4 linked regions of the Caenorhabditis elegans genome follow. The protein of the gene in region 1 purifies or fractionates together with the protein of each later gene. This does not show direct contact. Each region holds a gene or a part of one and is shown in the gene's direction. Other genes may lie near its edges. The genes, in order: R53.4, nuo-6, nduf-9 and nuo-5.

Evidence for each region.
Region 2: the proteins of R53.4 (region 1) and nuo-6 fractionate together in Caenorhabditis elegans (co-fractionation; one large-scale study listed by BioGRID). This does not show direct contact.
Region 3: the proteins of R53.4 (region 1) and nduf-9 fractionate together in Caenorhabditis elegans (co-fractionation; one large-scale study listed by BioGRID). This does not show direct contact.
Region 4: the proteins of R53.4 (region 1) and nuo-5 fractionate together in Caenorhabditis elegans (co-fractionation; one large-scale study listed by BioGRID). This does not show direct contact.

Annotation. Positions count from the first base shown.
Region 1 is NC_003280.10:9,966,777-9,969,620, reverse strand, and holds R53.4 (Putative ATP synthase subunit f, mitochondrial), read left to right. Parts: upstream 1-1,571; 5' UTR 1,572-1,573; coding exon 1,574-1,689; intron 1,690-1,753; coding exon 1,754-1,997; intron 1,998-2,043; coding exon 2,044-2,145; 3' UTR 2,146-2,344; downstream 2,345-2,844. Other genes in the region: psf-1 (putative DNA replication complex GINS protein PSF1), read right to left, coding at 45-110, 191-400, 446-535, 587-662, 731-795, 842-940; dtmk-1 (Thymidylate kinase), read left to right, coding at 2,540-2,582, 2,637-2,756, 2,804-2,844. UniProt on the Caenorhabditis elegans protein: Mitochondrial membrane ATP synthase (F(1)F(0) ATP synthase or Complex V) produces ATP from ADP in the presence of a proton gradient across the membrane which is generated by electron transport complexes of the respiratory chain.
Region 2 is NC_003279.8:7,067,560-7,070,924, reverse strand, and holds nuo-6 (NADH dehydrogenase [ubiquinone] 1 beta subcomplex subunit 4), read left to right. Parts: upstream 1-1,738; 5' UTR 1,739-1,749; coding exon 1,750-1,849; intron 1,850-1,923; coding exon 1,924-1,993; intron 1,994-2,340; coding exon 2,341-2,689; 3' UTR 2,690-2,809; downstream 2,810-3,365. Other genes in the region: W01A8.6 (Peptidase M14 domain-containing protein), read left to right, coding at 1-169; tofu-5 (Twenty One u-rna (21U-RNA) biogenesis Fouled Up), read right to left, coding at 339-613, 679-856, 904-1,129, 1,179-1,333, 1,382-1,483; cutl-6 (ZP domain-containing protein), read right to left, coding at 3,026-3,241, 3,312-3,365.
Region 3 is NC_003281.10:3,242,521-3,250,212, reverse strand, and holds the start of nduf-9 (NADH dehydrogenase [ubiquinone] 1 alpha subcomplex subunit 9, mitochondrial), read left to right. Parts: upstream 1-1,637; 5' UTR 1,638-1,639; coding exon 1,640-1,800; intron 1,801-1,929; coding exon 1,930-2,140; intron 2,141-2,429; coding exon 2,430-2,485; intron 2,486-3,050; coding exon 3,051-3,393; intron 3,394-6,354; coding exon 6,355-6,509; intron 6,510-7,114; coding exon 7,115-7,232; intron 7,233-7,692. Other genes in the region: Y53G8AL.4 (Apple domain-containing protein), read left to right, coding at 369-442, 661-846.
Region 4 is NC_003283.11:2,697,249-2,701,973, forward strand, and holds the start of nuo-5 (NADH-ubiquinone oxidoreductase 75 kDa subunit, mitochondrial), read left to right. Parts: upstream 1-1,723; 5' UTR 1,724-1,729; coding exon 1,730-1,822; intron 1,823-3,026; coding exon 3,027-3,779; intron 3,780-4,725. Other genes in the region: Y45G12B.2 (Zinc finger protein-like 1 homolog), read left to right, coding at 1-205, 1,210-1,332.

The DNA of each region.
Region 1 (2,844 bases):
TATTTATACAGATCACAGGTTGAAAACAAAATACCGACAACAAGTCAATGAACAAGCTCGAGAACACCCTGACGTATCAGCATTTCGCAGTCTTGGCGTGGAAGGGAGTGCTGAAAAATGTTATACATTATTTAAAAAATTAAAAACGGGATTTCTCTTTTTTCAAATAAAGAAAAATTCGAAGACTTACCAAACTATCCTTGGACAGCTGAACTTGAGTTCCATCTGACGTTTCAAATTCTCCATAATCCTCGAGAGCTCTAACTTGTACAAAAAGTGACTTCGGTGGTGCAGAATGAAGCAGCAGATTAACACCACCTTCTCCAAGATTGCTTTGGAATCTTGCCAATGTGCTCGAATACTCATTGAAAAACTGAATTTCCGCATCGCAGAGGGCGTTCTGAAAAATAATGGTTGACAAATTTTAATCATGTGCACCGATTACCCTAACAGACGCGGGAAGAGCACCTCCATACTTCCATCTGAATGATCGAATCCTGTTTTTCCTCTCGTTCACATAGGCCATCATGCAACGCTGGAAAATTGAACCACTACAATATTTCAAAAATCGACCTTCTCGACTTACTCGAATATGGCACATTGCAGCTAAACGAGGTTGAAGAAGCGTAGAATCATGAGGGAGTCCTGCACGGATTTTTTCACTGAAAAATATGATTTTAAATCAAGAAGTCACGAACGAATCGGTACGCTTCCGAAATGTATCACTTACACGACGGCAGCATTCTTTTGAAACAACTCATCGATTTTCTGATAACATTGGCGTACAAGTTCTGTCTGAAAAGAACTCAAATTTAAAGCAGAAAATAGGATATAATTTTACGTTATAAGGCGGTAATACATCTGGATTTCTTTTCATCTCTAAAACAAGTTGTAGTGCTTTGTCGGCGACGCCTCCTCGATTCTGATCGCCGGAACTCATTTTTTGAACTGCAAAAATTAAAAGTTGATTTGAAAAATAAAATTTTAAAGGGAAATACTTGATTTTAAATATTAAATTCGAAAATAAAAAACATTAAATTTAAAGTCCTCGACTTTCCCACCATTTCGGCTCTTGTGAACTAGTTGTAGACTCGGCCACGGCCATGGGTCTCGCAGCGATTAGCCGAAATGTATCGCCGCCCGTTGAAAACTGCACACATTTTTCTTAAGCATTTTTTAAAAGTGGAATATTGACGATTTTTCATTATTTACTCAATTAATTTCTTCTAAAATCAAATATATCACTAAATTCTGAGTTAAATTCGTTTTAGGCGTTACTGAAACGTAATCCCATGGTCGATAATGATCAATGTTTACAAAAATACATGTTTATATTTAAAACAATATTTAGCACATAGTTAAGGATTATTGGAGCTGGAACGTTCTTTTTTAAATGTATATTCTTCCTGATATTCATGTGTATATTTGCTAAATTGAACAAAATGCCTGTTTTGGTTGTTTTTCTAATTAATTTCTTGTTTATTGATTATTTGGCTTAATCGTTACTCGATTCTCACTATTTAATTAAATATCTGGTTTATTTTTATTTTTTTAATTCTTCGAATTTTCAGTTATGGCCTGGTTCCGTCCTCCACCACCACACACTCAACTCAGACCATGGGTTCCGGACGCGATCTTTATCCCGATCTCTCGCGCCGTTGAGCGTGTCGGAGTGTTCTTCTACAACCGGTTTGTCATTGTCTGAAAACGACGAATAAAATTCTTTTCCAAAAATAACCGATATAATTTTTAGCGTGTTGAACAAGACCGAGGTTGGATTGTTCGACAAGAGATGGAACAAGAACGTTCACGGACCATACTGCCACTGGAGATACTACGGAAAGCTTGATACCAAGTTCATGGATGTGAAGCTAGGAGATCTTCCAGCCTGGATGGCTCGTCGTGAGAAGACCCCATCTGCCTTCTACAACGAGTTCATGCGCAATATCTGGAGAGTCCACAACCTCTATTACTCAGGACCAGTCTACAATAACACTGTTCGTTTAAATTTAAAAAAAAAATACTAATTTTTTTTATTTTTAGGTCAAGGTAATCTTCCGCTTCATCTTCGCCTACTCGTTCCTCAATTGGCTCGTCAAGTCTCACCGTTACGTCGATTTCCAGAAGACGATGTACCATTGGTAGACACCATCCGATTTCGTCTACTCTTCAAAGCTCCACATACAAACTCTGTCGCTGGGGGAGGACGAAACAGCCATCCGATTTTTTCGTATTCTTTTTTCCCCCAATTCATCTCATTCTCGAGACGTCTTCTGTTAATTTAGTCCCCTATCGATTTTGTCCGTTTGTGTCTTTTTTCTATGAGAGAATAAATAGTGTATGGATCGGTTGAATAGAAATATTAAGAAGAAGGTTAGATAGCCGATGCGATTTTCTGGATTTTTTCGCTGTCGGCTTTATCTTTAGATTTGAATCTGTAGATCTAAAGTTCCGATTCTATAGAAGCGCGTCTTCATGTTTCTATTTTATTTTATATTTCTCCATGCTGTCTTATTTCCAGAGCCTCATCTCTTCACCTATGGCTACTGATCAGAAACGAGGGCTCCTGATTGTATTCGAAGGTATTTGATTTAGCTTAATTTTAAAGAAATATCAATATTTTAATATTTTAACAGGGCTCGATCGGTCCGGCAAGTCGACACAAGCCAAGCGACTCGTTGAGTCCATCAACAAAAAATCCACAGAATCCGGAGATGCTTCATCTTCCCCATCAGCCGTTCTTCAAGCTTTTCCAGGTTTAACTAGAGAATTAAAAAATATTTTTTTATTTTCAAAAATTCAGATCGTTCCTCTTCAATTGGAAAGCTAATTGATCAATATCTC
Region 2 (3,365 bases), on another chromosome or scaffold:
ATTCCAAGTCAAACCACATTGGCTTATTCCAATTGGAAAAGAGACATGGCTTGGAATTGAAGTAATATTCGATCAGGTAGTTGAGGAAACCAAGAACTTTCAACCGACTGAACCAACTACAAACGGAACATCAGCAGACAGTAGATCTCCTCGATTCAGACAGCTATAACAAACAAATCAACACGTGTCTTTGGACGACGACGAACTTGTCAAGAAGCGGGTTTCTACCATTTTTGTCTTTGTTAGACTTGAAATCAATAAACTTAATAACAATGTATTAAATACCAGTGAAACGACCGGATGATATGACAGGATATAACAAAAAATTAATAAAAATTTCAATTGGACGATGTAGATGGCTGGTTGTCCTTCGTAAAGTTGATTAATTCGACTTCAGATGCAACTTCAGGGATCGCATGAAAACGGGTACGGAGTGGATCCACGAACAGTTGAACTGCCGCCATAACGTTCGGAGGATAGTCTTGCTCACAGAAGCGGTAATTGCCTTGTTGACATTCACTGAAAATACCGGCAAGAATAGATTTCTCAGTATCTGGAGTTGTCGTAGCTTCGGTTTCGATAGTGTCTAGTACTTTGGAGACAACTGCCGCTTCTGAAAATAAAACTGTAGCGCTGGTTAAGTTCCCTCAGAGTTAGAATTATTCTGGGTTTACTGACCAAGTTCATTGAGCGCTGGCATTTGCTCTTCCAATGTGGCACATGCTTTCATGAATCTGTAAATGACTGGCCATCTTATATTTTGAGAGTCAGTTCTTGTAGCTTTTGCGGTGAGAAGTTTGGTCACCACCGCATTTTCGTGAGTTTTAGATTCTAGAGCGAGATTCTCGAAGAGTGTCTGAAAATTTGAGCATTTTTCAATTGCTGACTAATAAAATATAAAACCTCATAAGTATCTCTAAGAGAAGGTAGGGTCTTGTTGATTGATCCATGATGATGATCGACTATTTTTCCCATGATACTGCTCCAGTCGTCATTTGGATCCACTTGGCAAAATGGTGGAGGAGTGATATTATGATGTCCTGCTTCGATCCATTTATTTTTGTAACACTCAGGGAGAATAATCTCTTTGTGTTCCTTGATAATCTCTCGAATCTCGTCAATTTTCGCCCTGAAAAAGAATAATGATTAAATGTTGAACATATATTTTAAAAACTTACTTTATCTCTTCGATAGATCGTTTTTTTACAATGTTTCGGTGAATATAGTTTATGGCTTCAATTTTGGTACCATACTTCATCACTCCATCCAATAAACTTCTCAAGTCGTCACTGGACCAATTGCCACCATTGAAGCTGCGACCTTCTGCGAGAATCTACAAAATTTTACATTTTTAAATAGTTTATTTTATTAGAAAACTGACTCTGTCCAGTGGTGATGGTTCTTCGGTTACAGTATGGTTTGCGACTTCAAAAGCCATAGAGCTACCGGGAATTTCATTTGTGGGATCGCCGTCGGTTTCCATGGCTAAAATTTGAGTTTTAAGTTAAGTTTAATGTGCGAAAAAAAATAATTATGGCCTCGATTTAGGAAAGAATTGAAGAAAATTGAATTGAGGAAAATTCCTTTCGCTTTGAAATGTGATGTAGATTTACGATAAACAAGGCGCTGTTGCGAAATATCGGAGTGTCGTTTGAACCAGTTGTTCAGAACTTTTTATTTTATTTTTCTTAATTTCCGTCTTGTTTTCCGATTTTGTTTATTAATATTTTAATTCCAGGTTGAACCAAAATGAAGTTGGCATTAAGACTTCTTCGACCAGCTGCCAACCAAAATATTAAATCTCCGAAACTGTGGCAGGATCCAGTGCTTGGATATTTTGAGACTCACGGTAAAACTTTTATTTTATCGATTTATTTTTCATAATTTACTGTTAACTTGTAAAATAATAATTGTTCTGTATAGGAAAGACCGAATTTCTGCCAGGACATGAATACAATCTGAGCGACGAGGAGAAGAAAGCAGTTTTGTGGAGGTAATACGAAAAACGCTTTTTGCTTAAAAGTTTTTAAAAAAATTCTAAAAACAGTGAGAAACATAGTTTTAATTATATTCTCAATTTAAAATTATTTAATTCTATTGAAAAATCAATATATGATAACATTTGCGTTGATGAACACTTATTTCAAGTGATTTATTAGCAATAGAGACAAAAAAAAACAGTTTCTTGATATAATTTACAGAGTATCAAATCAAAAATTGCTTTAAAAAAACTGTTGCGATAAAATTGGATATTAAACACTGAATTAACATAAATTCAGTTTTTAATATCCAACTTTATGATAAAAAAACTACATTTTATTTTTAAAAAATTACTTTCAGATATCGTGTCAAGGAGATTTTGAAGAAGGAATATCTCCGTCGTGAATACGATCCTCATAGCTTCAAGTACAAGGAGGGAGTCACCATGGATCCAGCAATGTTCCGTTGGTATTCTGCTGATATGACTCAAGCCGAGTTCTTCCGTTTCACACCACGCACCGTATTCCTGTACGTCGGAACCGTTTTCGCTCTCTTCTACATTTACACTCGTCTTATGTTTGTCCCAATGGACAAGTCGAATGAAGCATGTTTGGATGGAAAGCTTCTTTGGTGGGATCGTCAACAAGGAAGAACTCTACAAACCGGAGGATCCGGTCTCTTTGCTCCAACCATCGGAATCGACTTCTAATCGTCTCGATCTATCTGTTTTCTTAAATTTACTTTTAGATCCGAATGTAAGCAACTTTTTCTCGATTTTTGTTTTTTTTTAGCTGTGTCGTTATCCTCGTCAAATAAAATTCAGATTTTATTAATGTAAACACTCGTAAATTTATATAAAATAACATTGATGCCTGATGAATTAGATTCCGTAAAAATATGTGTGGAACAGACATCACAGAGAAAAAGAATGAGAAATTTGTGCCTGACTTTCGAGAGAGTTCAAGGGAATTTTTAAGAGAAAAATGGGAGCTGAAACCGTACAATCGGGACGTGTAATTTATAAAATAATATAATAATGTGAAAATCAATAATATCTGCCTGACTGCATTATATCGAGCTCTTTTTTGTGATTTTGTCTTCGAATCACTAGTGCTGTGGAGACAACTGTTAATGATACAATTGTGATAAGAATAAGGGGAAGAACTGGAAGAAGTAGTCGTGGAACACAGAATGGAGAAGGAGCAAGGAGCCCACGATCTGCTGGATCAAGTACAAGAAGTTCTGATGTTGCTACGTCGATCTAAATATTTTATTGTTTTCATGTTAGGAGGATTAAAAAAATATATAATCCGGAAACAATCTATGATTACCTCATAATCAGACCGATCAGCTTCTCTTTTTGTTCGATTTCCATCACCACTTGC
Region 3 (7,692 bases), on another chromosome or scaffold:
TCGTTGCTTTTCAATAAAAAACTAATTTTCAGACGTGGCCTAGAAAAATAACCGGAAAAGTTAGGCCACGCAGCATTTTTCTAGAAAATTGCAAATTTTTCGAGAAACGCGTTATGTCTTCACTTTTAATTTTGAAAAACGTGCTTAATTTGCTTTTTAATCAAATTTTTTCAAATTTTAAGACGTGGCCAAGAAAAACCAGCTGAAAAAATAGGCCACGAAATTTTTCTTCGAAAAGCTCCATTTTTCCGCGATTTCGCCGCTGGAAATTAACTTTCGGCCAACGTTTCTGTGAAAATTATTTTTTAAAACTCTAAATATCTGCCAAAAAACCACTGTGGCCTAAACAATTCCATTGATTTTTCCAGTATTCTTCTTACTTATCGTCACGTTTGCCGGATTTTCATTTTCCCGCCCCGACCACCATTCGAGGAACTGCAAAGTAAGTGCGCTCTAGCGAACAACGAAGCTGCAAACGCGCTCCATTGAGAATTTTGCTTAAATGGTGGAAATCTCGGGGGTTTCTGGAGATATATCGATTTTTATTCGATATTTCGCTGAAAAAAATTGAAAAATTTGAGAAAAATCATTCAAAACCCTAGTTTTTCGCCGATTTTTTCCGCATTTTTTCAAGAATTCGGAATATTTTTTGATTTCCAGGCTTACCGACGACCGGCTCTAAACGAAGTGCTCACGAGAATATGCCTACTTTGCCATGAAATGTTTTCAGTCGACCAGCCGAATCTAGCCGCCGAGTGCAGCTCGAATTGCTTCAGGAATCCGGCGTTTAACAAGTGTCTCAACTTTTTTAGGCCGAAATTTTCTCCTTTTCTGGGTTCCACGTGATAAATAAATTGGTTTTAATCGTTAAATTTGAATTTTAATTGACTAAAATTGGTTAAATCGAGAAAAAAAAAGAAAAGAACCACAGTGCGGAGTCGAACCCCGGTGTGTTGCGTGAAAGGCAAAAGAGTTACCAGCAAAGCCACAAAGCAATGTGAACGTAATTTTGAGAGGCGTATACATTGTAGCCATAAATGCTTATTATCTCGATAGCGTATAATATTAATAATTGAGAATTTTGATGTCATTTTCAGTTTAATCTACCAGTATTCTTCTGTAATTTCGCACATTTTGAAGAAATCCCTTGAAAACTTCGCATTTCTATTTAATTCAAAGATTTTAATAATTTTTCTTGAATGTAAAACAAGAAAAGTAATATTTCATTAATTTTTCAACAATTTAGATTGAAAACTCTCTTTAAAACCGCCTTTCTCACCAATTTTTGCTAATTTCAAAGCTTCTCATTCCTCCTTGGAGTACGGTCATCAATCCCCGCCCTTCCAAGTGCGCATTCGAGTCCGCAAACGTCAAACCCGACGCCATATTGCGTACAGGCCAAATTATTTATTTCGGCACCGCGTACTTCATTTTCAGCCATTTTTAGCGGTTTTTCCAGATTTTTTCGCTATTTTCGGTGCTTTTTTGATAAAAAATCGATTTTTTCGACCGGAAAAGCTATTTTTAGCTGGAAAAAATCCCGAAAAAACGCAGAAAACCCATTTAATTCTTAAAAAGTCTTTAAAAATCTTTAAAAATCTTTAAACAATTGCAAATCTCGATTTTCCTAATTTCAGCCATGCTATCAGTGTTGGGTAGATCCGGCTTGGGCGCCCGGCAGGCGGTTTCGGTCGTTGGAAGTCAGAATTTCAGCAGCGCGGTCACCTCCGCCGAAAATGCTCATCCGGAGCCACGTGTCAGCTCTCAGAGTGCTCAATTCAGAAAGGGAGCCGGTGGAAGGTACAGGAAAAGCCTAAGAATGATTTGAAACTGGAAAATGTGGAAAAAATCTAGGAAAAATTGAAAAAACATTGAAAAAAAATCAATTTTTTCCCAAAAAAAATCGTTAAAAATTCCAAATTTTTGCAGAGCCTCCTTCTCCGGCAATGTGGTGACCGTATTCGGTGCGTCAGGCTTCTTGGGACTTCCAGTTGTCAATAAATTCGCGAAAAATGGCTCACAAATCATTATTCCGTATCGCCAGGATCCGTATTACATGAGAGAGCACAAAGTGCTCGGCGAGCTCGGACAAGTCCTCTATTTTCCATTTGAGCTGATGGATGAGGAGAGCATTCGAAAGGTATTAAAATTCGTGGAAATTGAGAGAAAAATCGAGTTTTCTAGGTGAAAATCGAGAAAAATTGGATTTTTCTCTAGAAAATCCAGAAAAAATAGAGTTTTCTCAGTGAAAATCGAGAAAAAATGGGTTTTTCTTTAGAAAATTCAGAAAAAATAGAGTTTTCTCAGTGAAAATCGAGAAAAATTAGGTTTTTTCTCTAGAAAATTCCGAAAAAAAAAGAGTTTTCTAGGTGAAAATCGAGAAAAATTGGATTTTTCTCTAGAAAATCCAGAAAAAATCAATTTTTCAGGCTGTAAAGTACTCGAACGTCGTCATCAACTTGATCGGAACTCGTGTGCCGACTGGGTGAGGAAATTGCAGATTTTTGAGCGGAAAAATTCACAAAATATGCCGGAAATTCAAAAAATTCAAATTTCGCGCCGTTTTTGACCAAATAAATCACTCTTTTTCGCTGAAAATTCGAAAAAATGCCTGAAAAACCTTCAAAATGTGGAATTTAACCCTTTTTTCCTACTGAAAATTCAAAAAATAAATTTTTTTACACCAAATTATCATTCAAAATTCAAAAAAAAAGCTCTTTTTTTCCAGTTTTTTCATTGAAAAACTCAAAATTCCTCACTTTTTCCAACTGAAAATCAATTAAAAATTGAAAAATCCCCTTAAATTTTGAATTTGGCTCCACTTTTTGGCTAAAAATTTGAAAAATGTCCGAAAAATCTTCAAAATTTTGAGTTTCGCGCCGTTTTTTTCACTGAAAATTCAAAAAATATTTTTAAAAAATTCAAAAAAAACTAAATTGCTCAATTTTTCTCCAAAATTTTCGAGAAAACTGCCATTTTCTATTGAAAAATTCAAATTTCCCCACTTTTTCCTTCTAAAAATCCCAATTTTAAGCCATTTTTCCTTGCAGAAAGTACAATTACTATGACGTCAACGACACGGGAGCCCGCCGTTTGGCTCGAATTTGCAAAGAAATGGGTGTGGAGAAATTTGTGCATTTGTCGGCTCTCGGAGCAACTACACAACCACAAAAGGGACATTTTGTCGCAAAATCGCAATTTCTTCATTCAAAAGGACTCGGAGAAGTTGCTGTACGTGAAGAATTCCCAGAAGCAACAATTATTCGCCCATCTGTGATCTACGGTGAATTGGATGGATTTATTCAATATTATGTGTCAAGATGGCGAAAAACTCCATTGGATTATGTGTATTTGTACAAGAAGGGAGAAGAAACGTATAAAATGCCGATTTGGGTACGGAATTGGCCGATAATTCATGAAAAATGACCTAAAATACGTGAAAATTGGCCGAAAATGACTGAAAATGGCTGAAATTTGGCACAAAATTAAATATTTTAACGAAAAACTCACAAAAACCGAGATTTTTTGAAAATTTACGATTTTCACATTAAAAATTGTCAAAAAAATTTTATTTTCCGTTAATATTGATTAAAATTATAGAAAAATCCATTTTCAACCGAATTTTGAACGAAATTAATCAAAATTTCATAAAATACATTTTAAAAAAAGCTCAAAATACGTGAAATTCGCCAAAAATGCTGAACAATTACTTAAAATTCAAAAAAATTGAAGTAATTTGACCAAAAAACTGAATTTTAGTCAATAAAAATTCAAAAATGGCTGAAAATTGTTTGAATATTGAAAATTGGGCGAAAATTCATGAAAAATGACCTAAAATACGTGAAAATCGGCCAAAAATGACGAAAAAAAATTTTTTTTTAAAGTAGAAAATTTCATGAAAATCGAGAAAAATGGTGTAATTTGACCTAATAACTGAATTTTAAAAATAAAAAGTCGAAAATCCGTGAAAATCGGTCTAAATCTACGAAATTTCATGAAAATTCGCTTGAAATTGAGAAAAATGACTCAAAATTCATTACAATAAATCCAAATGAACTGAAAAATGTCAAAATTCATAAAAATTGGCCTAATACAAATAAAATGAGTCCAAATATTTATGAAAAGTCTCGAAATTTCATATAAAGTTGCTCAAAATACGTGAAATTCGCTAAAAATTGCTGGAATTTATTTAATTTGCTTAAAAATTAGAAAAAAATTTCAAAATTCAAGGAAATTGGCATAAGTCCGTCTAAAAATTGAATTTTAAATTTAAAAAGTCAAAAATTCCAACAAATCGGCCAAAAATTACTGAAAATTGTTCAAAATATGACCAATTTTTGTTTGAAAATCGGAAAAATTACTCAAAATTCGAGAAACGCTGTAATTTGCGAAATTTTATGAAAAAAAAGCCTTAAAACCATTTAAATTGGCCAAAAATGACTGAAAATGGCTGAAATTTGGCACAAAATTGAAAATTTTCGGAATTTCACCCAAAATTTCATAAAATTTGATAAAACTAGTCGAAAATTGGTAGAATTTCGGCAAAAATCGTATTTTCACACAGAAAATTGTCAAAAAATTGCTAAAAATGACAAATTTTGACTGAAAAACTTGAATTTTTGCTTAAATTTCATCAAAATGTAAAAATCGGTAAAATTCCAGAAAAATTCACCGAAATTTGCAAATTTTGGCTTAAAATTGTCCATTTTTGCCGAAAAAAAATTGATGGTAGGCGGCGGTAGGCATAAAGTAGGCACAATTTTTTTTTTGCGAAAAAATGCAAAAAATGTCCAAATTTCGCATATTTTGACTCAAAACCTCGGCCAAAAATGGTGTAATTTGACCTAATAACTGAATTTTAAAAATAAAAAGTCGAAAATCCGTGAAAATCGGTCTAAATCTACGAAATTTCATGAAAATTCGCTTGAAATTGAAAAAAATGACTCAAAATTCATTACAATAAATCCAAATGAACTGAAAAATGTCAAAATTCATAAAAATTGGCTTTTAATACAATTAAAATGAGTCCAAATATTTATGAAAAGTCTCGAAATTTCATATAAAGTTGCTCAAAATATGTGAAATTCGCTAAAAATTGATGGAATTTATTTAATTTGCTTAAAAATTAGAGAAAAAAAATTTCAAAATTCAAGGAAATGAGGCTTAAAGTTACCTATAAACGCTGGAATTTGCGAAATTTTATGAAAAAAAGCTTTAAAACCATTTAAATTGTCCAAAAATGACTGAAAATGGCTGAAATTTGGCACAAAACTGAAAATTTTCGGAATTTCACCCAAAATTTGATAAAACTAGTCGAAAATTGGTAGAATTTTGGCAAAAATCGTTTTCTCCTCAAAAATGTAACAAAATTTTCGATTTTCACACAGAAAATTGTCAAAAAATTGCTAAAAATGACAAATTTTGACTGAAAATCTCGAATTTTTGCTTAAATTCCATCAAAAATGATGATTTTTTCAGAAAAATTCACCGAAATTTGCAAATTTTGGCTTAAAATTGTCCATTTCTGCCGAAAAAAAATTGATGGTAGGCATAAGTAGGCACCATTTTATTGCGAAAAATGACCAAATTTTGGATATTTTGACTCAAAACCTTGAATTTTTGCCAAAATTCAATTCATTTTTCGCACAATTTCAGTAAAAATAACTCAAAATTTACCATTTTTTGCCGAATTTTCAACGAAATTGATCAAAATTTCGAGAAAATCGGCGAAAAATCACTAAAAAAATCTCGATTTTCTTGCAGGTTGCTTTTTTAGTTTTTAGTTTTAGTTTAAAAAAGAAAAATCGGCCAAAAATGAGTGAAAATTGTTCAAAATAGGCCCAATTTGTTTGAAAATTCAAAAAATTACTCGAAATACATACAATTCGGCCTAAAACTGCCTATAAACGGTGGAATTTGCGAAAATAAGCGAAATAAAAAAAAAAGCTTTAAAAACGTTTAAATTGGCCAAAAATGACAAAAAATGGCTGAAATTTGGTCCAAAATTGAAAATTTTGAAGAAAATTGACGATTTTTGACGAAAAACATACAAAAAATCGTTTAAAAATGTTATCAATTCCAATTTTCGGTAATTTCCCATATTCACTTGAAAAAAATTGTTGAAACATTGCTAAAAATGGCAAGTATATATATTGAATTTTTTGGTTAAATTCCATTAAAAAACGGTATTTTCGCGCGAAATTTCATTAAAAGGAGTGAAAATCCGTAAAATTTCAAAAAAAATTCACAGAAATTTGCAAATTTTGGCTCAAAATTTACCATTTTTTGCCGAGTTTTCAACGAAATTGATCAAAATTTCGAGAAAATTGGCGAAAAATTCCGATTTTCTTGCAGGTTGGAGACGTTGCCGCCGGAATTCAAAGTGCTGTAAATGATCCAACAGCAAAAGGACATACTTATGAATTTGTTGGACCACACTGCTATCAATTGTCTGAATTGATTGATTTCATGTACAAAAAAGCGCATTGTTTGTCTGATTTTGGATTCAGGTACCCGGTTTTTCGATTTTCCCGCCGAAAATTGGCCTAAAATGAAGGAAAATTGCTAATTTTTGGGCAAAAAAATCATGAAAATTGATAATTTTTAACGAGAAATTCATGAAAATTGGACTTAAAAATCGTGAAAACTGGGTCTCGCCACGAAAACTTTATTTTTTTCAAATTTAAAGGCACATGGGTTGTGCATCAATCAGGAAATTTTGAAAATTCGAATTCTCCTCAAAATTCTAGGCTTGTAGCTTTAATCGGGTCTCGCAACGAAAATTTCACGAGTACAGTAACCCGCGAGATATTATTCCGTGGCGAGACCTTAAAAAATCAAAAAAATCAATATTTTCACTGAAAATTGATGATTTTTAACGTGAACTTTATGAAAATTGGCTAAAAAATATAAATTTAGACGTAAAAATCGTGAAAACTACATTTTTTTTTGGGTCTCGCCACGAAAAAGTTGAAAAAAAAAAATTTCTTGAGTACAGTAACCCGCGAGGTATTGTTTCGTGGCGGCGGGACCCAGGCGTGAAATTTCGAGAAAAATCGCGAATTTTTCAATTATTTTCGTGGCGGGACCCGAGAAAAAGCTCAAATTTTTGCAGATACAAGCGTCACGGAATGCCGGATCCATATTTCATGGCTCTCACAATGGCCACCGAACTCTATGGTAAAGTGTTCAAGTGTAAAGTTCCACTCAACAGAGAATGGATGGAGTTTGTGGTAGGTTTTAGGGCTTAAAATGAGCAAAAACGCCTCAAATTTTAGATTTTTTTAATTAAAAATCGGTTTTCCGCCAAAAATCGGGCAATTTTTACGGAAAAATCCATTTTTTAAGTGAAAAACACTTAAAAAAAACTGATTTTTGAGTCAAAAAATTGGAAATTTCGGAAAGCCTACCTACGCCTGCCTTGTGCCTACCGTTGAATTGTTAAATCAGGTAGGCGTAGGCACAATTTTGAGGAATTTTTTTTGTAGAAGTGGCGGAAACAACCCGATTTTCATCAAAAAAATTCGAAAAAAATCGAAAATTTTTTCAAAATTATCGATTTTTAGTCGAAAAATGGATTTTATTGATTTTTTTTTTTGAAAAAAAAATTTAGCGAATAAAATCGATAATTTACGGAAATTATCGATTTTTTGTTGATTTTCAAAAAATCGATAAATTCCGATTTTCCGACAA
Region 4 (4,725 bases), on another chromosome or scaffold:
CGAATCTTCAAGCGATACTCGTCCACTTTTACAGCTCCGTGACGCCGATAACGAGGAGAATAAATATAAACGGCGCCCGACGATGGATTGGATGCGCGGGCTCTGGAGAGCAAAACATGGCGGCTCCGGGGTCCCACAGGAACGGGCTTCCGCGAAAAAAATCGCGCTTTTCGTGATTTTCCTGGCCGTTTTGGCTTTGATTACGGTTGGATTTTAAAAAGCGACTTTTATAGACTCAAAAACGCCAAAAAAATATTTTTTCCCTGAAAAAATGGCCTAATTTTAGCTAAAATACATCAATTTCGCCGACTTTTCCGTGTTGCATCTGTCGGAAATTCGCTTTTATTTGATTTTATCACAGTTTATTTTCAATTTTTATCGTTTTTCTCACGTTTTTTTCGTTATTTAGTGTACATTTGAAGCATATAAACCGAAAACGACGTGAGGGCGGAGCCTAAACCGCAATCCTGCGGCGCGATGTTTCGCAACTCCACCGCGCGACTATTTTTTACAAGTTTTTAAGTTTTTTTTCGCATTTTTCGAATAAAATTTCCAGTATATCGTGATTTTTTCGAGATATTTCGATAAAATCTCATGAAAAAAAAATTTCGACTGACAAAAAAACAGCGCGGCGGAGTTGCGAAATCGCGCGCCGCAGAATTGCGGTCCAGACCCCGCCCACAATTTTTTGCGCTCAACGTCTGCCGTGTGGCTTAAAATGTACATTAAATAGCGAAAAAATGTGTAATAAACAATAAAAATATAAAATAAACGATGAAATTTCATGAAAATAAAATATAAGTCAATTTCCGACCGCTGCGACACGGAAAAGTCGGCGAAATTGGTGTATTTTAGCTAAAATTGAGCGATTTTGAGTATTTTTAAGCGAATTTTGAGCTTTTTGAGCAAATTTTGAGTGTTTTTAATCAAATTTCGCAAATTTTGAGTCATTTTGATCAAATTTTAAGGCTTTTTGAGCAAATTTATTGTCTTTTTGAGCAATTTTTTGAGTATTTTAGAGCAATTTTTGAGTATTTTTGAAGGAAATGTTAAGGCTTTTTGATCAAAGTTTGACTTTTTTTGAGTGAATTTTGAGTATTTTTGAGCGAATTTTATGGCTTTTTAAGCAAATTTTGAGTGTTTATGAGTCTTATCAAGCAAATTTAGATTCTAACTTCATTTAATTCCAAATAAATTGTATTTTTCCAGATTATAATGGTGATGAAGCGTGCCGGATACAGCGGCGAGCACTCATCGGACCCCCTTTTCGATCCAATGGCCAATCCGAATATTCGCGTCGCCGTCGAAGATTCTCGTCTTCCACACGTCTAAAAAATTTTTTTTTTTGAAAAAAATGTGCATATCCTTCCCTTTCTGTGTAATATTCAATGTCTACTCATTCCCCAACGAAAAAAAAAGTTTTTCGAAAAATTTTTTATTTTTACTTTCGCCTGCTAATGATGCTAACAAACGGGATTTTTTCTGATTTTTTTCGATTTTTTTCGCTAAAAACTAGCTAAAACTAGCTAAAACTTGGTTGTAATTAATTATTAATTATTTATTCTTTTTTTTTGCCCTATTTCTTGTATATTCGGTGGTTTAAATGGTATTTATTGATTTTTTTTCCTCTAAAAATTGAAATTCGGTTAATTTTCTACCGAGATTTATATTTATTTTCTCTCAATTTTTCGGAAAAAATTTCAGGAAGTAATTGCAATTTCAGAGCACCATGCATCGCGTCGGTGGACAAATTGTCCGCGGAGTGTCGAAGGCTCAACAGAAGAGATCGCTTTCGGTGGCGGCTCCGGCTCCACCGAAAAAGGTGAAAAAACTGGAATTTTCGGCGGAAAAATTGAAGAAAAATGGATTTGGCAAAAAAATAACGAATTAACTAGCGAGAAATTCAAAAAAAAAGCTTAATTTCATCTACAATCTCCAATTTTCCATCATTTTCCATTTAAAATTAGTGCCAGAATATAGAAAATCGCTCGATTTATCGGAAAATCACTTTGATTTTAGCTGAAATGTTGGAGAAAGCGCTCAAAAAGACAGTTTTGAGCTTTTTCTCAACTGTTTCATCCGAAATTAATGTGATTTTCTCGATGAATCGAGTGATTTTCTATATTTTGGCACTAATTATTAATTGAAAATTTTACAAAATACATGGTGCAATGATGTTTTACTAAAATCAAAAATGTTTTCGTTTTTCAATTAAAAAAATCGAAAAATTCCGTTTTTCGGTTCGAAAAATCAAAAATTTTTAGATTTTTCCTTTAAAAAACGGAAAATTTAGTTTTTTTAATTTCCGAAAAAAGAACAAATCGAAAAAGTACGTTATTTAATTTAAACAAAAATCTAAATTTCTTCGTTTTTCAATTGAAAAAAAAATCGTTATTTCCTGTAAAAAAATCAAAAATTTAGTTTTTCGGTTCAAAAATCGGAATTTTTTCGATTTTTCCTGTAAACATCGAATTTTTTTTTAAATGCTCGATTTTCTCTGACAATTTTTTTTACAAAAAAATAAAAATTATTCGATTTTTCCTGTAAAAAATCTAATTTTTTTTTTCAATTAAAATGATCGAAACATTTCGTTTTTAAATTTATCAACAAAAAAAACATAAAATGAAAAAAGCACGTTTTTCAATTAAAAAAAAATCGAAAAATTACGTTTTTCAATTTTAAAAAATCTAATTTTCCTGTAAAAAATCTAAAAATTTAGCTTTCAGTTCAAAAAATCAGAATTTTTTCGATGATTTTTCCTGTAAAAAATCGAAAATTCGTTTTTTTTTCAATTTTTAAAAATATATCGTAAATATATATTTTTCGATTTTCCGGAACCTAAAAACCCAACATTTTTTTCAATTAAAAAAAAAAAAAAACGAAACAAATTTCTTCCATTTTCCGAAAACAAAAAACTTAAAAAAAAAATTTTTTTTCGATTTTCAAATAAAAAAAATCGAAATTTTTCGATTTTCCCTGTAAAAATCAACAAAAAAACCACTAAAAATCACCTCATTTTCTTCCAGGTCGAAGTCTTCATCGACGACAAAAAAGTGCTCGTCGACCCGGGAATGACGATTCTCCAAGCGTGCGCGCTCGTCGGCGTCGACATCCCACGCTTCTGCTATCACGACCGTCTCTCAATTGCCGGAAACTGCCGAATGTGTCTGGTAGAGGTGGAGAAGTCGGTGAAGCCTGTCGCATCATGTGCGATGCCTGTCATGAACGGAATGAAAGTCAAAACCAACTCGGATTTCGTGAAAAAAGCTCGCGAAGGGGTGATGGAGTTCATGCTCAACAACCATCCACTCGACTGCCCGATTTGTGATCAAGGTGGCGAATGTGATCTACAGGATCAGGCGATGAATTTCGGATCCGATCGTGGGCGGCTTCAGTCGAGATTCGATGGAAAACGGGCTCTCGAGGATAAGAATATCGGGCCGTTGGTGAAAACTGTGATGACTCGATGTATTCAGTGTACTCGATGTGTCCGATTCGCTAATGAAGTGGCCGCTTTTCCGGATTTCGGCACCACCGGACGAGGACAAGATCTTCAAATTGGCACCTACGTCGAGAAATTTTTTGCTTCAGAGCTCTCTGGGAATATTATCGATATTTGTCCGGTCGGAGCTCTTACCAGCAAGCAGTACGCGTTTACGGCCCGGCCCTGGGAGACTAGAAAGACTGAAAGTGTTGATGTGATGGATGCGACCGGATCGAATATTGTGCTTTCGCATCGGACTGGCGAGCTTCTGCGGGTTATTCCGAAAATCAACGATGTACGGAGTTTTGAAACGAATTTTTTGGAAGACATAGCTTTGAAAATTTTGAAGAAGAATCGATATTTTTCGAATGTCGAAAAAAAAATTGTATTTTTGGCCATTTTTCACTTTTTTTGGAGAAAAAATCGATATTTTTCAATTTTCTCTGAAAAAAATCGAAAATTTACAGATTTTTTGAATTTTGATAATTAAAAAGTTGAAAATTGTGTAGTCTAGTTTGGAACAGGGGTGTGCGGCAAATGGAAAAAATTGCCGAGCTCGGCAAATCGGCAATTGCTGGTTTTTCAAAATTTGCCGAGCTCGGCAAATTCGGCAAATCTCTTTTTTCAATATTTGCCGAGCACGGCAAATTCGGCAAATTTGCAGAGCTCGGCAAATTCGGCAAATTCGGCAAATTTGCCGTGCTTAACAAACTCGGAAAAATTTGATATTTTTTATGTTTTGTGGAGCACCAAAACTACTGAATTCTTAACACACATCTGGTTTCTGAATAAGTTCCGCGTAGTATGTCTGTTTAAGCATCAAAATAGCTCAATTTTGTGTCATTTTACTAAATTTTTGGCTAAAAAATCAATAGTTTTATTCAAAATTGTACTGTCAAATTTTTCACGTGTGCGGCAAATTTCGAAATTTGCCGAGCTCGGCAAATTCGGAAAATCTACTTTTTTGAAAATTGCCGAGCTCGGCAAATCGGCAATTGCTGGTTTTTTTAAATTTGCCGAATTCGGCAAGTCGGCAATTTTCGGCAAATCGGCAAATTTGCCGCACACCCCTGGTTTGGAATAAAAAATTGTTCGGCAACATTTTACTTTTTATGAATTTTTAATGCTTTTTGAGCTGTTATCGGTAAAAATCGATTTTTTTTTCAGAGAAAATCAAAAAAAAAATCTAATTTTCTGAAAATAACTTAAAAAGCTTATTTTCGATAAATAAATTCATTTAA